Linked DNA regions of Mytilus edulis. The protein of the gene in region 2 interacts with the protein of the main gene of each other region in a pairwise test. Links are inferred from orthologs where the notes say so. Each region holds a gene or a part of one and is shown on either strand. Other genes may lie near its edges. The genes, in order: abl interactor 1-like and regulator of MON1-CCZ1 complex-like.

The links.
Region 1: the proteins of regulator of MON1-CCZ1 complex-like (region 2) and abl interactor 1-like interact in a two-hybrid assay, tested with the Caenorhabditis elegans proteins (2 studies listed by BioGRID). The link is inferred for Mytilus edulis from reciprocal best matches to the Caenorhabditis elegans genes Y50D4A.4 and abi-1.

Annotation. Positions count from the first base shown.
Region 1 is NC_092345.1:44,932,665-44,940,088, forward strand, and holds the start of abl interactor 1-like, read right to left. Parts: upstream 3,085-7,424; 5' UTR 3,047-3,084; coding exon 2,930-3,046; intron 1-2,929.
Region 2 is NC_092344.1:110,107,674-110,115,618, reverse strand, and holds the start of regulator of MON1-CCZ1 complex-like, read right to left. Parts: upstream 3,185-7,945; 5' UTR 3,143-3,184; coding exon 3,032-3,142; intron 1,131-3,031; coding exon 1,054-1,130; intron 1-1,053.

The DNA.
Region 1 (7,424 bases), on a different chromosome or scaffold from region 2:
TCTTTTGCAAATTGTGACTTGAAAGGTTAGTTGTCTCATTGGCACTCATATCACATTTTCTTATAATTATCTATATAGTATTTCCATACTTTCATACTATTTCCACTTCTATCACTTCTATCCAAAACAATCTGCCCCTATTCAATATGGCTGAAATACATTTTTAACTGTGAAGTGGCCTATATCATGTACATCTTTATCTATTTTTCAGCCCTTACTGGCATGGACATCACTGAAAATTTTGATGTCATAATCAGTGTTCTAGCCAGGATTTAAAAAGGGCAATTTAACGAGTACATGTCATTAAAAAGGGCAATTATTTATGTGTTATAATTAATTAGTATATAACTAAGGCACTATGGTATTATCAATTTTCAGTAAAAATTGAGTAATAAATTTTAAATAATGGCACCATGTTTTATGTTTAACTTTTAATATCAGGGTATCATCTACAATGTACATTTACTCACTCAATCACCTCAAATATTTTGTTGCATTTACTTTTGTTTAAAGGGCATAATGTACAATGCCAAGAGCAACTGTTGACAGTCAAGGCAATTGGAAAACACTCTTATTTCAAATTATTTTTTAATGCACTTCATAAATCAATCAATGGAAGTGAAGATGTGAAAAATAATTTTAAAAATATTTATTATTCAGGTTTTTTAGGTAAACTTAATTAAAAGTTATACTTTAAAATGCATTTGCATTCAATTTGTTATTAATTCAATCTTTTTTTTTAAAAAGAACATAAAACTTAAGACAGTCAGGGGACTTACTCAAATAAGTGATTTTTAAATCACTTATTTGAGTAGCAAATTCGAGGTTTTGTCACAAATTGGGATTTTGTAGTTTTTTCAAAATTTTAAACACATAGGTTTAAGTAACATCTTTTAATTAGTAAGTTTTATGCCTTTGATGCTTTCATTTACCTGAAAATTCTACTTTAGTTGAAAAAATGCTATAATAATGGCTTTACATAATGAACTGATACTTTCTTAAAAGATTTTTCACAGCAGTGAGGGTATTTTTCCTGTGAAGTTCAAGGTTTCATCTTTCAGATTGTGTAATAAAATGCTACTGTTCGCGATAAAAATTTCACTGTTCGGGGGTGTTGAAATTAGTGGAGGTTATTAAAAGAATGATACTTAAAGAAGTGATTTTTGGGAAGGAAATTCAGGTCTGATACTTAAACAAGTGATTTTTATGTCATTATCCTAGATTCAGTACAAGGTCATCACCTGAAATGACCTGGTCATCCTAGACAACACAGATGTTGGTTCTGATAAGTTTTACTGTTTAGAAACATAATTAGTCCCTGGATCATTAGTATTCTATATTTAAAGCTACACTAATATTAAATCACTTCTTCTAGTGATTAATTTGTACTACTTAAATAGGCGATTATTAAAGAAAGAAAACTCTAACTTCCAACCTTTATGGAAATAATGTTACTTGAATCAGTGATTTAGAAAATCACTTGTTTAAGTAAGTCCCCTGACTGTAAGAAGAATATTGTGAAAGGTGACAAAAAAGGGGAAGTAACAATCTTTTTTTTGTCAAACATTTTTGAGTTCTAAAAAATTATTTATGACCTATAAAAGCTAAGGTAATTGTTGTTAATTAACAATGTACTTGACATCAAAGCTGACAAGTGAAGCCATGCACTTAATGGGTCACTTAATTGTACAGTTTACACAGCTAGGTGAACTTCCTGTTTATGAAAGAATTACGAATTTGTCGGTATTTTAAAGGCAGAAATGCCGAGATTTTCGCCATAAAAACGGCAGGGCGCCAGAGAAACCACAGAAAAAAGCTAGGGCGTCAACAAAAAAGGGCGAGCGTTGCGCCCTGTTCAAACTTTCTAGCTAGAACACTGATAATAGAAAATATCAGACCCCACAATGTGGGTCTCATTGGGGTCTAAGCGTGACGCGGGATTGCCGATTTTTTGTAAGCGTGACACATGGAAGTCAAATTCTTGTGCTGTGAAAACAGGAAATGGAGTCTAGCGGGACACGGGAAATTACAAAAAAAATGTGAATTGCTTACATACATAGTGTAAACGGGATACAGGAATCTGACACAACAGAAAGCCGGATCCGGGATCAGAACCCCCAATGAGACCCCCACAATCATTTGACAATGGTAAATTGATTGTTGTAAAATGTATGATGTCAATACACCTTATCGCTAATCCCGGCTGACCCGGCCGCTTGAACTTTTGACGTCAACAACAATCACTTTTCCATTGTGGCGTCAGATATTTAGTTTTATGACGTCAAAATTTTACGGGAACCTGTGTGATTTCCAGCAATGGCGGACAAATAGCGATAAGGTGTATATTCAAGAGGCACAGATTCTTGGGTCAAGCAGAGCAGATTTTCAAATAGTAATAAACATGATAAAGGTCTATTTGGCAAATGTGTAAGGTTTTAGCATTTTATTAGGTGAAAAATATTTCATTCAGGGATTATATAAAACAATGAATGACAGGAGTGGTGACTGATGTTAATTTAGAAATTGCACATGTCTGTTTTTCTGTTTTTATTTTCAATCTCTTCCATTTTATACATTGTAGTACTTACCAATTTTAAGTGAGTCTCATTGGGGTCTAAGCGTGAGGTGGGATTGGTCATTGGATCGTGTGACGATTGAAAGTAGAATCATTAAGCGGAAAACGGGAAATGAAGTCCTGCGGGACACAAGAAATTACATGCGCTATTTTGGCAACAAGAAGTACATTTGAGATTACAGGATTCTCACTTAACAATAAGAGGGATCCTGGACCAGACCCCAAAATGAGAACCCCTTCAAGAGTGAATTAACAATTATGCTATTCATGAGGACTGTGACTGAGTGAGAATAGGAAGCTGTGAGCCTGTGTTGTTCGCAGGCAACTGGCGTTTTTGAAGAAATAAAGGACTACCTTTAGATAATTGTCCCTACAATACTGTGCAACTTTGTCAAGATTTATATAACTTTCTTGTAGATGTTGGCGACCTTCTGGGATTTCTTGATCAAGAAGCTGCGTTACTTCTGCCATTTTTACTACTTCCTGTTTATTATGTTGAGGTTAACTTGTTTCAGTGTACTTTGGCGTACGCCAATATATTATTACCGGCGCGTATCGCTAAGAGACAGATTCGCCACCTAAAATATTCGTCTCCGGTCTTGATGATATTGTTAAGCTGTGTAAATTTGTACTTGGAGTAAGAATTAAATAAAAATCAGATATTGCATCAAAAGACTCTAGGTCCACTTCCTACACGTTTTTTATGTTAATAATTTATGAATATGATTAAATATTGGATTCATCTGTTTAAAAGAAATAAATTGAAACTTCCAGTGGCGGATCCAGAAATTTTCATAAGTGGGGCCCACTGACTGACCTAAGAGGGGGCCCGCTCCAGTAACGCTTCAGTGATTCCCTATATAAGCAACCAAATTTTTCCCCCCTGCCCCCCCCCCCCAAAAAAAAAAATCCGCCTATGACTTCTAATATTATCCCATTCTGTGAACAAATCTTACCAGGAAACTGAGATAGGAAACAGTAAAATTTATGTGTAAACCAGTCAAACTTTAAATAAAAAACAAACATATATTAATTTAAAAAAAGGTATAAACAATTAAATCAATTTCTAAAGGGACTTATCATTTTTAACCTGGGAGGGGGGCTGGTCATTTTGAATTCAAACATATAAAATTTCTTGATCCCTCATAATATTTCACAATTTTCATTTAATCCCCCTAGTAAAACTGACATACGGCCTTTTCCATCAATATTGCAAGTCAGTGCTTTTAGTAGTTTTTTCTGACTTTTTTTTCTAAATTCCTATATTGTGCTAAAAAAGAAAACTTGATCCTAAGCAACTCACACAATAACTTTTAGAAACCGGCAGTAACAATACATTATTTATTTAGAGGAATCTATTATATGAATGCTGCTTAATTAAGCTTTACGTAAGGCCTTATTGAAACCTCAATTGAGTCGCTAAACTTTTATATGCAATTTAAAAAAAAAAAAAACTTCTAGAAAATATCATTTTTTTGTAGTTTGAAAAATAAAAAAAACTCGACCAGGAGTTGTCTACCATAAGCATAAGTCTAGGGAACTGGGGTAAGGGGACACATTAAGCGTATACAGTATACACACGTTTCGGTTCGCTGGGACATGTATGATATATTAAGAATTATAATTTATAGTTTAGCTAGCTATAAAACCAGGTTCAATCCCCCATTTTCTACATAAGAAAATGCCTGTACCAAGTCAGGAATATGACAGTTGTTTTCAATTCGTTTGATGTGTTTGAACTTTTGATTTTACCATTTGATTGGGGACTTTCCTTTTTGAATTTTCCTTGAAGTTCATTTTTTTTGTGATTTTACTTTTTTCTCCAAGTCACAGTTTCTTCCAAAATTACTGAATGATCGATGTGTCAATGACAATGTTGATTATCCAACATATTACTTTGTTTAAATTAGTATTACGTACATGGGGGAAAATATACTTGCCTCCCCGTGCCGCTAAAGTTATATTTGCTTAAGAGCATAAAAAACCACATCTATTTCCATAGCTACGACCATACAATAAAGATACATATAACATCCCCCAAAAAGAAAATTTCCCAAATTTTATCAAAATGGTGTATGTGTTTTATCCATATAAAAATTGCACTATAATAAATTCAAACTATATAATCACTTCCGTATATTAAGACTCAATCAGTTTCCAACTAATCTTTGTAAATACATTTGTATCAACTGAAATATTCTGGCTGACCAGTTCTCAATCTAGCATCGTATACATGTGCCGACATTTTTGTTTAAATGTACTTTAATCACTCTAATCATTCTAATAATCATTTACTGGGCTTTATTTTGTCAGTCATGCATCGTTGACAATGTAATGGAATTTGATGCGACTGTCATACAAGTGAGAGGTTTAGCTAGCTATAAAACCAGGTTCAATCCACCATTTTCTACATTAGAAAATGCCTGTACCAAGTCAGGAATATGACAGTTGTTATCCATTCGTTTGATGTGTTTGGACTTTTGATTTTGCCTTTTGATTTTTGATTTTCCTTTTTGAATTTTCCTCGGAGTTCAGTATTTTTGTGTTTTTACTTTTTTTGATTGTGTAGCTCAAATTTTGGGCGCAATGTATATTGATTGGTGGAAAAAAATACCTGTACAAGATATGAAAAAAATAAACGATTTTTTTATTCAATCATTGATAACAGTTCAATTTTGTTATAATAAGTAAAGAAACATCGCTGATAAATGGTTCGCTTGCAATTGAATTATTATTACATGGGTTTGATAGATATAGGAAGATTTGAGTGACAACTCTCCATCCAAGACATACTTTATAAAAGTAAACCATTAATTATAGGTCAATGTAAGGTCTTCAACACGGAGCCTGGGCTCACACCGAACAGCAAGCTATAAAGGGCCCCAAAAATTACTAGTGTAAACCCATTAAAACGGAACAGCCGAGAAATCGGTATATAACAGAATTTCGTCACCGTCCGGCAATTTTCTAAATCGGAAGTTAAGTACTTAATTGTGTTATATAAAGGAATATACGGTAGGGAAAACAAATTCTGAGACGAGTGCCTGTGATCAAATATAAGAATTTGAGTCACTCAAATCGATGAACATGAATTGTCAGTTTATGCCCCTATAAGGGTTACGTAACTAAGAAAGAATAAAATATAAAATTGAGAATGGAAATGGGGAATGTGCCAAAGAGACAACAGCCCGACCATATAGCTGACAACAGCAGAAGGTCACCAACAGGTCTGCAATGCAACGAGAAATTCTCGCACCCGGAGGCGTCCTTCAGCTGGCCCCTAAACAAATATATACTGGTTCAGTGATAATGAACACCATACTAAACTCCAAATTGTACACAAGAATTATCAATTCATAACATATATGAGAAGAACATAACCCGTGTCATGCCAACAACTGGTTTAAAATAATAAATGTGTTTATATTCCGGACCATATGAGTATTTGGACCATACGCGTATGGTCATGACCATATGCGTATACTCATATGGTCCGACCGTACGCGTATGGTCGGACCATATGAGTATATACTCGTTTTGTTATAAACGGGCCGGACCATATGAGTATTAGGACAATATAGGTATATTTTTCAATAATATGCACGAGAAAACTTTATAAAATAACAATGATTGCTACATGCAATTGTATTATTTACAATTCAAATAACATTAAATATTGATGCCAAAGTTAGTTTTCATCACTAATTGTATTCTTGCATGGATGCGTAGGGTGACATTTACGTCCACACGGCACCATAGCTTTTCTTGGGTCCGGGGTCATTCCGATGTGTCTACGGTGAAAAAGCTCTACTAGATCTTCAATATCGCAACATGACTGAAGTACATCATATCACCAGACAACTTTAAAAAATGAACTAGTGTCGACATTTTGTCATTCACTCGTAATAGCATATCGGTAATGAAAAAAAAATGTGTGTTTACTATAGTTTAGTGATGAAATTTGCTGTGTGAAACTGCTCATTTTATTTTGTTAATCTTGTTATTACTAATTTTTAATGAAAAAAATACCTTTAGTAGTGTCTTTTTAGTGACGTGACAACTAGAAGGGTTATATAAAGAGGTAAGCATAAATATACCGCGACCATACGCGTATGGTCACACCATATGAGTATATACCCATATGGTCATGACCATACGCGTATGGTCCAAATATTCATATGGTCCGGAACATTTATATAGTTCACAGTTGTTATAGTAGTCTCAGCATAAGTGAATCAATATCAACGCCAAAATATGCAATCTTTAATGACCTGAGAACAGTATCGTAACTATACCCCTTCTTAATAAGTCTATTTAAAGGTTTTGTTATCTTCTGAGGTGAATACTGACATTTTTGTGCTTTATAAAAGAATATTTCCATAAAATATTGGATGTGAAATACCTGAACGTATAAGAAGTCTACATGTTGAGCTATATTTACTATTGATGTCCTTACTGGTACCGATGATAAAATTAAGTAAATGTTTTAACTAGTTTGTGATATCGTATTTATCAAGGACTTGTTATCATTATACAAATCGTTGGATGTATTGAGACAGGCAACATCAAGGCGGTAGTTAATTATTATACTGCAGATGACAATATGTTACAGTCAGATGGTGTTCTGAACTGTGCTTTGAAAAAAAAGCGATTTTAAAGCAAATACTAAGACAGTTTTGCAGCAAAGTGTATGATTTTATACATGCAAAATAATTAAGTTTTCTGTCATAACCAGATTTTTCTTATTAATACAGATAAGAATGATTCCACTGAATTATTTGAAATGGCTAATAACTTAACTTAGAATTGAAATGTCACACTAAAGACATGTAGTATATTGTTTTATATA
Region 2 (7,945 bases):
AAACACAAGTTATTGGCTGAAAATTACAAAAATGCTTATTTGGGCCCCTTTTTTGGCCCCTCACTTATTGAAACCCTCCTTGGAGCAAGAACCCCAAACTCAATTCCAGCCTTTCCTTTGTAGTAAGAAACCTTGTAGTATAATTTCAGAGAGATTCATACCCTTCAACACAAGCTATTGTCTGTAAACTACAAAAATGATTCTTTTTGGGCCCCTTATTCCTAAATATTCAGGGATATAAACTCCAAACTGACACCAAGCCTTCCCTTCTTTATATGGAACCTTGTGGTACAATGTCAGAGAGATCCATACAGTTAAACATGTTATTACCCCAAAACTTCAAAAATGCTTGTTTTTGGCCAATAATTCCTAGACTGTTTGCCCCATAACCCTTAAAATATATCCCAACCTTCTAATTAATGGTATGAACATTGTGGTACAATTTCAGGGTAATTGAAATACTTATACACAACTTATTGACCTGAAACTAGATAAATGTATGTTTTGGGCCCCTAATTCCTAAACCGATGGGACCATAACCCTAAAGATCAATCCCAACCTTCCCTTTGAGGTTACAAACATTGTGGTAAAATTTTATTGATTTCTATTTACTTATACTAAAGTTATTATCCGGAAACCATCCGTCTTTGGATGACGCTGACGACGACGTGATACCAATATACGACCGCAAAAATATAAAAATTAGAAAATAGGGAGGCCAAAATCAGGCCTTATCCTACCTTGTCCTTATCTGATTAGATAAGTTGGTCATTCTTGAAGTTATATTTCTCAAATTGCTCGTCATGTTCAGAACAAGACAAAAATGTTAGTGACTTTCAAAATAAAGAACAGTAAGTTAACATGGTTAAGCACTTATCTTCTGGTATATTGCAGGATAAAGTTTTGCTTCATGTATGTATTGGATAGCAAATTCAGACAAGTGATGATCTTATCAGACAATAATTTGAATAACAATACATGTATATAAAATTAGCAAATTAAATCATAATTTCAAATTTCTTTCAAATATAATGTACGGTACAAATGTACAACCTGAAAGTAAGAGAGTTGCTATCGTTTGGTCCTTTAACCACCACCCCCATAGCTCCACAGGAACGTACTGCAAATACCTACAACATACATAAATCACTCAATGGAAAAAAATCAATTAACCCCCTTTCCCTTTTTTTTTGTGAGATATAAACAAAATGTTTTAATTCATAGTGTAATATAAATTCTATGTTCTTTTGCCTCTGATCAATCATTATTTTGCATGTAAAAAATTAAAGGTTATCTCTTTGAAGAAGACCATGTGTAATCCTACAAATAGGTATTCAATTAATATTTGTTCCAGCTTTTCAAGTTATGTCCAGGCTTTTTATTTCCTTGTAAGTGGTCACATATAAACAAATTCAGACAGAGTTATCTATTACATGTACTAGTATACAAATAGACATTCAACCTGACTCATCTTTCCAAATTATGTTATGGCTTTTTTTAATTCTTAGCAAGAGGTCATCCTGTTGGTTTTTGATGTGAGCAGTTTTTATTACGATATGTGTTTTAGTTTTACAACATATGGTCAAGAATCTACATAGATAAAGGGGTGGTTTGTGTGTATGCAACACTGTTTCACCCCACCACATTAGAGCCTGTACAAAGTAAGGCTATCTGAACCATGTGTTATTGTTGTTGTTTTGTCTTTGAAATCTATTTATTCTGAGGAATTTGAGTTAGGTGAAGGAGTTTGTTCTGTAGTTAGAAAAAAAGATTGAATACACAATGTTGAATGTCAGGGATTTCTGTTATCCATTTCATGTACATTGTATTAAGTTATTTGACATATAAATAAAGGGTATTCTTTCTGGCTTCTGTTGTCCTTGTAAAACATTCATAATATTTACTAATATCATCTGTTGACAATGGTTGATGGCAAAGACAACATAACTAAAGTAATATTTTTTTCCACAATACAGTCCCTTTTGCACTCATACATGTACAACATCTTCTTATATCCATACTTAGTACAAGTATAAATAAAAGGATTGATAGATTGATTGTTGTTTGCTTTAGTCCAGTAGCAAATATTTCACGAATGATCAGAATGAGAACAAATCATCAATTAATATGGTAGGTTCTGTAAAGTGAAAGGTTGAGGTATCAATGTAGTCCTCCAGAAAAGTAAGCTTACAATCGCCTTCATGATGTTCATGTGGCATCACAGCAAAAAAAAAATAGCCTTCAGACGTCAAAATATACCTAAACACAATTTGTCCGCAATTACTGGACATCACAAAGGTTACTGTAAAATTCTGACATCACAATAGTGTCACAGATTCCAAAATAGCAATTTATATACACCAATATCAAGTTTTTTAGGACCTGGGTCAATCTGTGTATATGATATATGACATCATTGAACAATGGATTCTTATCGAGACCTTATAACATAAATGAACTTTCTAACAGGAAATATACGCAAAAGAGCACAAATTTAGAATTCTTCTATCATTTAAACTATTAACACATTACCATGTTTACGTAAAATAAGCAAATCCCAACCTGACAGGATAATGGCGGTTTGGCCATGATCAACAAACTGAATATTTTGCCATGACTTCGGTGCGACTAAATGGAAAGTTTGAAATAAAAACATGATTTCAATGACAAAGGGTAGACAAGACTGTCATTGGTTGAAACAACACTGAATCAAGGTACCAGACACATATACAAATGTGTACACAAAAATATGTCTCTGAAGCCTTGCAGACAAGTGTTGAAATGAAGGGATTCAAATGAAGTTACAAAGTCATTTTCTAAGCTATGACAAATCAGAGTGTGTGGCCTTCAAAGACAACATTCTAGTTGTACCACAGGCACTAGACGTTCTGTCAATAGCATGAAAATATTGGCAATGGGAAGAAAATAGTGTCCATATATATAATATATATATATGGACACTATTTTCTTCCCATTGCCAATATTTTCATGCTATTGACAGAACGTCTAGTGCCTGTGGTTGTACATTCACCTGTCTATTAGCGTCGTCATAGAATACGTTTGTGACTTTATCAACTGGGTCGAATCGAATAGGGTTTTTACAAAGTTCGATGTAAAAACACCCATCGTTTTGTTGTGCCATTTTTGCATCTCTTCTGTTTTCACTGTCTTCACCAAAAGTCAAGAGAGATTCCGAAAGTCTATTACAGGTGCGTTCGAACAGACATCTCTATCCTTTATTTAAATAGTACTGTTTATCATACACATTTTATTTGTGTTTTCTTTGAACAATTTAAAGTAAGGTTAATTAAGATGAGAATAATAAGATTTGGGCGGGCAGGGGAGAGAAGAAGGATTTTGTAAATGCATATCCTGACAATTAAATAGATAATAATAAAATAACATGGTATAGGACACAATACAAATGAATATATTCTATCATATAAATAACTTCCTAATTCTTACTCTATCTGCCTGTTATGATCTGTTATGGTTCTTAGCTTTTATGTGTGAGTGGAGTATCATAACTAAGACTACTATAACGTTATAGTAATCTCAGATCATAATAATTTCAGAATGCTAACTTAAGTTAGAGTGGAATAAAAAAGTCATAAAGTGACATAACTCTAGAAAGGCACCCTGCCAAAAAAAGTGTCCCCTATCATTTTATGTTTCTTATTTGCAATAGAAAAAAAACCTATTGACACAGAGATATGTTGAAATACAATTTAAAACAAGAATGTGTCCCAAGTACACGGATGCCCCATCTGCACTATCATTTTCTATGTTCAGTCAACCGTGAAAATGGGATGAAATCTCTAATTTGGCATTAAAATTAGAAAGAACATGTTTACTAAGTTTCAAGTTGATTGGATTTCAACTTCATCAAAAACTACCTCGACCAAAATGTTTAACCTGAAGCAGGACAGACGAACAAACGAACAAATGGATGCAAAGACCAGAAAACATAATGCCCATAAATGGGTCATAAAAAAGACAATCTGATTAACAGCACATACAACATTGCTTATCATTTCAAAGTCACTGGACCATGACAATATATCTGATAGTAATACAATATATAGAAAATAGCATTGATCTACAAAAAGCTCATTTAAAACCGATTAACCCAAAAAATCTTAACAATAATTGAGGCTGCCGCTAAAAACGCTGAAAAAGGCAACACCTACATATCAGCAGTTTTCATTGCAGGCTAGACAAAACTTGACAAAAAGTTAGGTGGAAGGGGGCAATCACTTTGGTTTCCCTAAATATATTCGCAACTATAATTAACTCTTGATGATTAAGAGCATGTCATATTGTACAGCTACTTGTCTATTGTTTAAGAAAGTATGTTGCATCCTAAGGAATTTTTTACTAAAGCTTCTTCCTAATCATGAGTAAAATTTAGATTTTTTAACATTTAGGTAGTTTGCATTTTGATAAATGGACTATTTATCTTTATGGCTGATAACAGCAATAAAGGGCTGCGCTTTAGCGCATGATTACGCCCGTTGTTTGAAAGACGACGGGCGTATAAAAATGGCAAAAAAGACTACAATGACAATGAGGAGCAGCAAGAAGATAACAGGAAAAGTGAAGATGGTGAAAGTGACTCTACTGAAAGTTATGATCTAAATGAGGAAGTAGGTGATGAAAGTAAGGATTTCATTGATGATGAAGATAAAGATTTCATTGATGATGAGGAGGCCTCTTCTGAGAATGAAAATGAGGATTTTCTGATGATGAGGACAGTGATTACAGTGAAGAAGACACTGATGATTAAACCTAGTTCAGCTTTTCAATATTTAGCATAAAAAACAAATATCATTAACATTGGCATATAACATAGAAGTCTTCAATGCAATATAAGGAAAGTGATATATGATTATGGGTTTTAGTAATTCTATGGCTGATTTACTAATTTTATAGTAGTTTGAAAGAAGGTAATTTTCTTTGGGTATATTGCTCATAGTTAGATTCTGTTGAACACAGTAAGGAATCCATACTAAATTATACAAAGATGTATGCAAAAGTTGTTCAAATGGTGCTTAATATGGTGGATAATGATTATTACCTTTTATTGTTTAGAATATTCACAAGATGATCATATTGATAAATGTTTAGGAGACTTGATTTCCTTATTTTTTTCATAAAATGACACCCTTTAACATTTAAGGAATATTAAGTCACATGTTAGGATTTTCATGTTGTCACTTGTTCACTTATTATGTGCTATTGTAGACTAGTTATGTTTTATAACATTTTTTATTGCGCTCAACCCTTCCACCGAAACCGAACTCTATAAAAAAGCTGCAATGCTAAGGTATCATTTGTGATTTCAATTGCAACCAATTTTAACAAGAGTAAAACATCCTATATGCAAAAACAGTATTTGATTTTTATCCATAGCTTAGATAGTAAAAATGTTATCATAAAATGATATATGCCTCAGGGAACAGTTAGTATCTCAGGGACTGCTAATGTGCTTTCATCCTTGCAACCATTCAATAATAGTACAAACGTATGACATTCATGGAATCTATTTTTTACAAGAAATTTAATGTTTTAAATTGAACTAAAGATTTTACAAATTTTATGTTTTCATCAGATTTTATTAAGTATTATTTGTTACATCAATAGATATAAACAATTCACCAAAGTTTCATGGACATTGGTGAAAGCCTTTTTGAGTTATTGTCTGAAGTGTTAAAAAATTCCCCTTTTTTTTATGAATAAAGCCCCATAAATCCAAAACTTAAAATCTGAAATTTATAAAAATTGAAAGGGAGCTTACATCAATAGATATAAACAATTCACCAAAGTTTCATAGACATTGGTGAAAGCCTTTTTGAGTTATTGTCCGAAGTGTTGAAAATCCCCCCTTTTTTATGAATAAAGCCCCATAAATCCAAAACTTAAAATCTGAAATTAAAAAAAAACGAAAGGGAGCTTACGTCAATAGATATAAACAATTCACTTAAGTTTCATGAAAATTGGTGAAAGTGTTTTTGAGTTATTGTCTGAAGTGTGGACGACGGACGGACAACGGTATACCATAATACGTCCCGTCTAAAAGACGGGCGTACAAAAACAGAAATAACCTTTTATTCTGATTTAAACATGTTGAAAGATAAAAAAATATTGCAAACCACTTTTTTCCATTTTAAATACTTCTCATTCACACATAAAAACTGTATAATGTATATGGTTATGCGAAACATACATTTGAAAACTCAGAACTTAAGTCTGTTTTCAATTATCCAAAACGATTATTTAAACCAACATATTCTCAATTTGCCATACATGTATTAAGTACAACTTCATTGATTGTTACCAAACAAACATGAATACGTATTCCACCTTTTACCTTAATTTTTTTAATAGAATAATGTAGTGTAGATCTGAAGTTCTGAACATAATAAGCCCCCCCCCCTTTTTTTTTTATGAATAAAGCCCCATAAATCCAAAACTTAAAATCTGAAATTTATAAAAATTGAAAGGGAGCTTACATCAATAGATATAAACAATTCACCAAAGTTTCATAGACATTGGTGAAAGCCTTTTTGAGTTATTGTCCGAAGTGTTGAAAATCCCCCCTTTTTATGAATAAAGCCCCATAAATCCAAAACTTAAAATCTGAAATTAAAAAAAAACGAAAGGGAGCTTACGTCAATAGATATAAACAATTCACTTAAGTTTCATGAAAATTGGTGAAAGTGTTTTTGAGTTATTGTCTGAAGTGTGGACGACGGACGGACAACGGTATACCATAATACGTCCCGTCTAAAAGACGGGCGTACAAAAACAGAAATAACCTTTTATTCTGATTTAAACATGTTGAAAGATAAAAAAATATTGCAAACCACTTTTTTCCATTTTAAATACTTCTCATTCACACATAAAAACTGTATAATGTATATGGTTATGCGAAACATACATTTGAAAACTCAGAACTTAAGTCTGTTTTCAATTATCCAAAACGATTATTTAAACCAACATATTCTCAATTTGCCATACATGTATTAAGTACAACTTCATTGATTGTTACCAAACAAACATGAATACGTATTCCACCTTTTACCTTAATTTTTTTAATAGAATAATGTAGTGTAGATCTGAAGTTCTGAACATAATAAGCCCCCCCCTTTTTTTTTATGAATAAAGCCCCATAAATCCAAAACTTAAAATCTGAAATTTATAAAAATTGAAAGGGAGCTTACATCAATAGATATAAACAATTCACCAAAGTTTCATAGACATTGGTGAAAGCCTTTTTGAGTTATTGTCCGAAGTGTTGAAAATCCCCCCTTTTTTATGAATAAAGCCCCATAAATCCAAAACTTAAAATCTGAAATTAAAAAAAAACGAAAGGGAGCTTACGTCAATAGATATAAACAATTCACTTAAGTTTCATGAAAATTGGTGAAAGTGTTTTTGAGTTATTGTCTGAAGTGTGGACGACGGACGGACAACGGTATACCATAATACGTCCCGTCTAAAAGACGGGCGTACAAAAACAGAAATAACCTTTTATTCTGATTTAAACATGTTGAAAGATAAAAAAATATTGCAAACCACTTTTTTCCATTTTAAATACTTCTCATTCACACATAAAAACTGTATAATGTATATGGTTATGCGAAACATACATTTGAAAACTCAGAACTTAAGTCTGTTTTCAATTATCCAAAACGATTATTTAAACCAACATATTCTCAATTTGCCATACATGTATTAAGTACAACTTCATTGATTGTTACCAAACAAACATGAATACGTATTCCACCTTTTACCTTAATTTTTTTAATAGAATAATGTAGTGTAGATCTGAAGTTCTGAACATAATAAGCTAGAAACAAATCTCAAGTATACACAGCCAAACTTATAATCTTTATCTGAACAGTTTGTCTTTTCATCTCTGATTTTTTTTCCTTTGTCATTT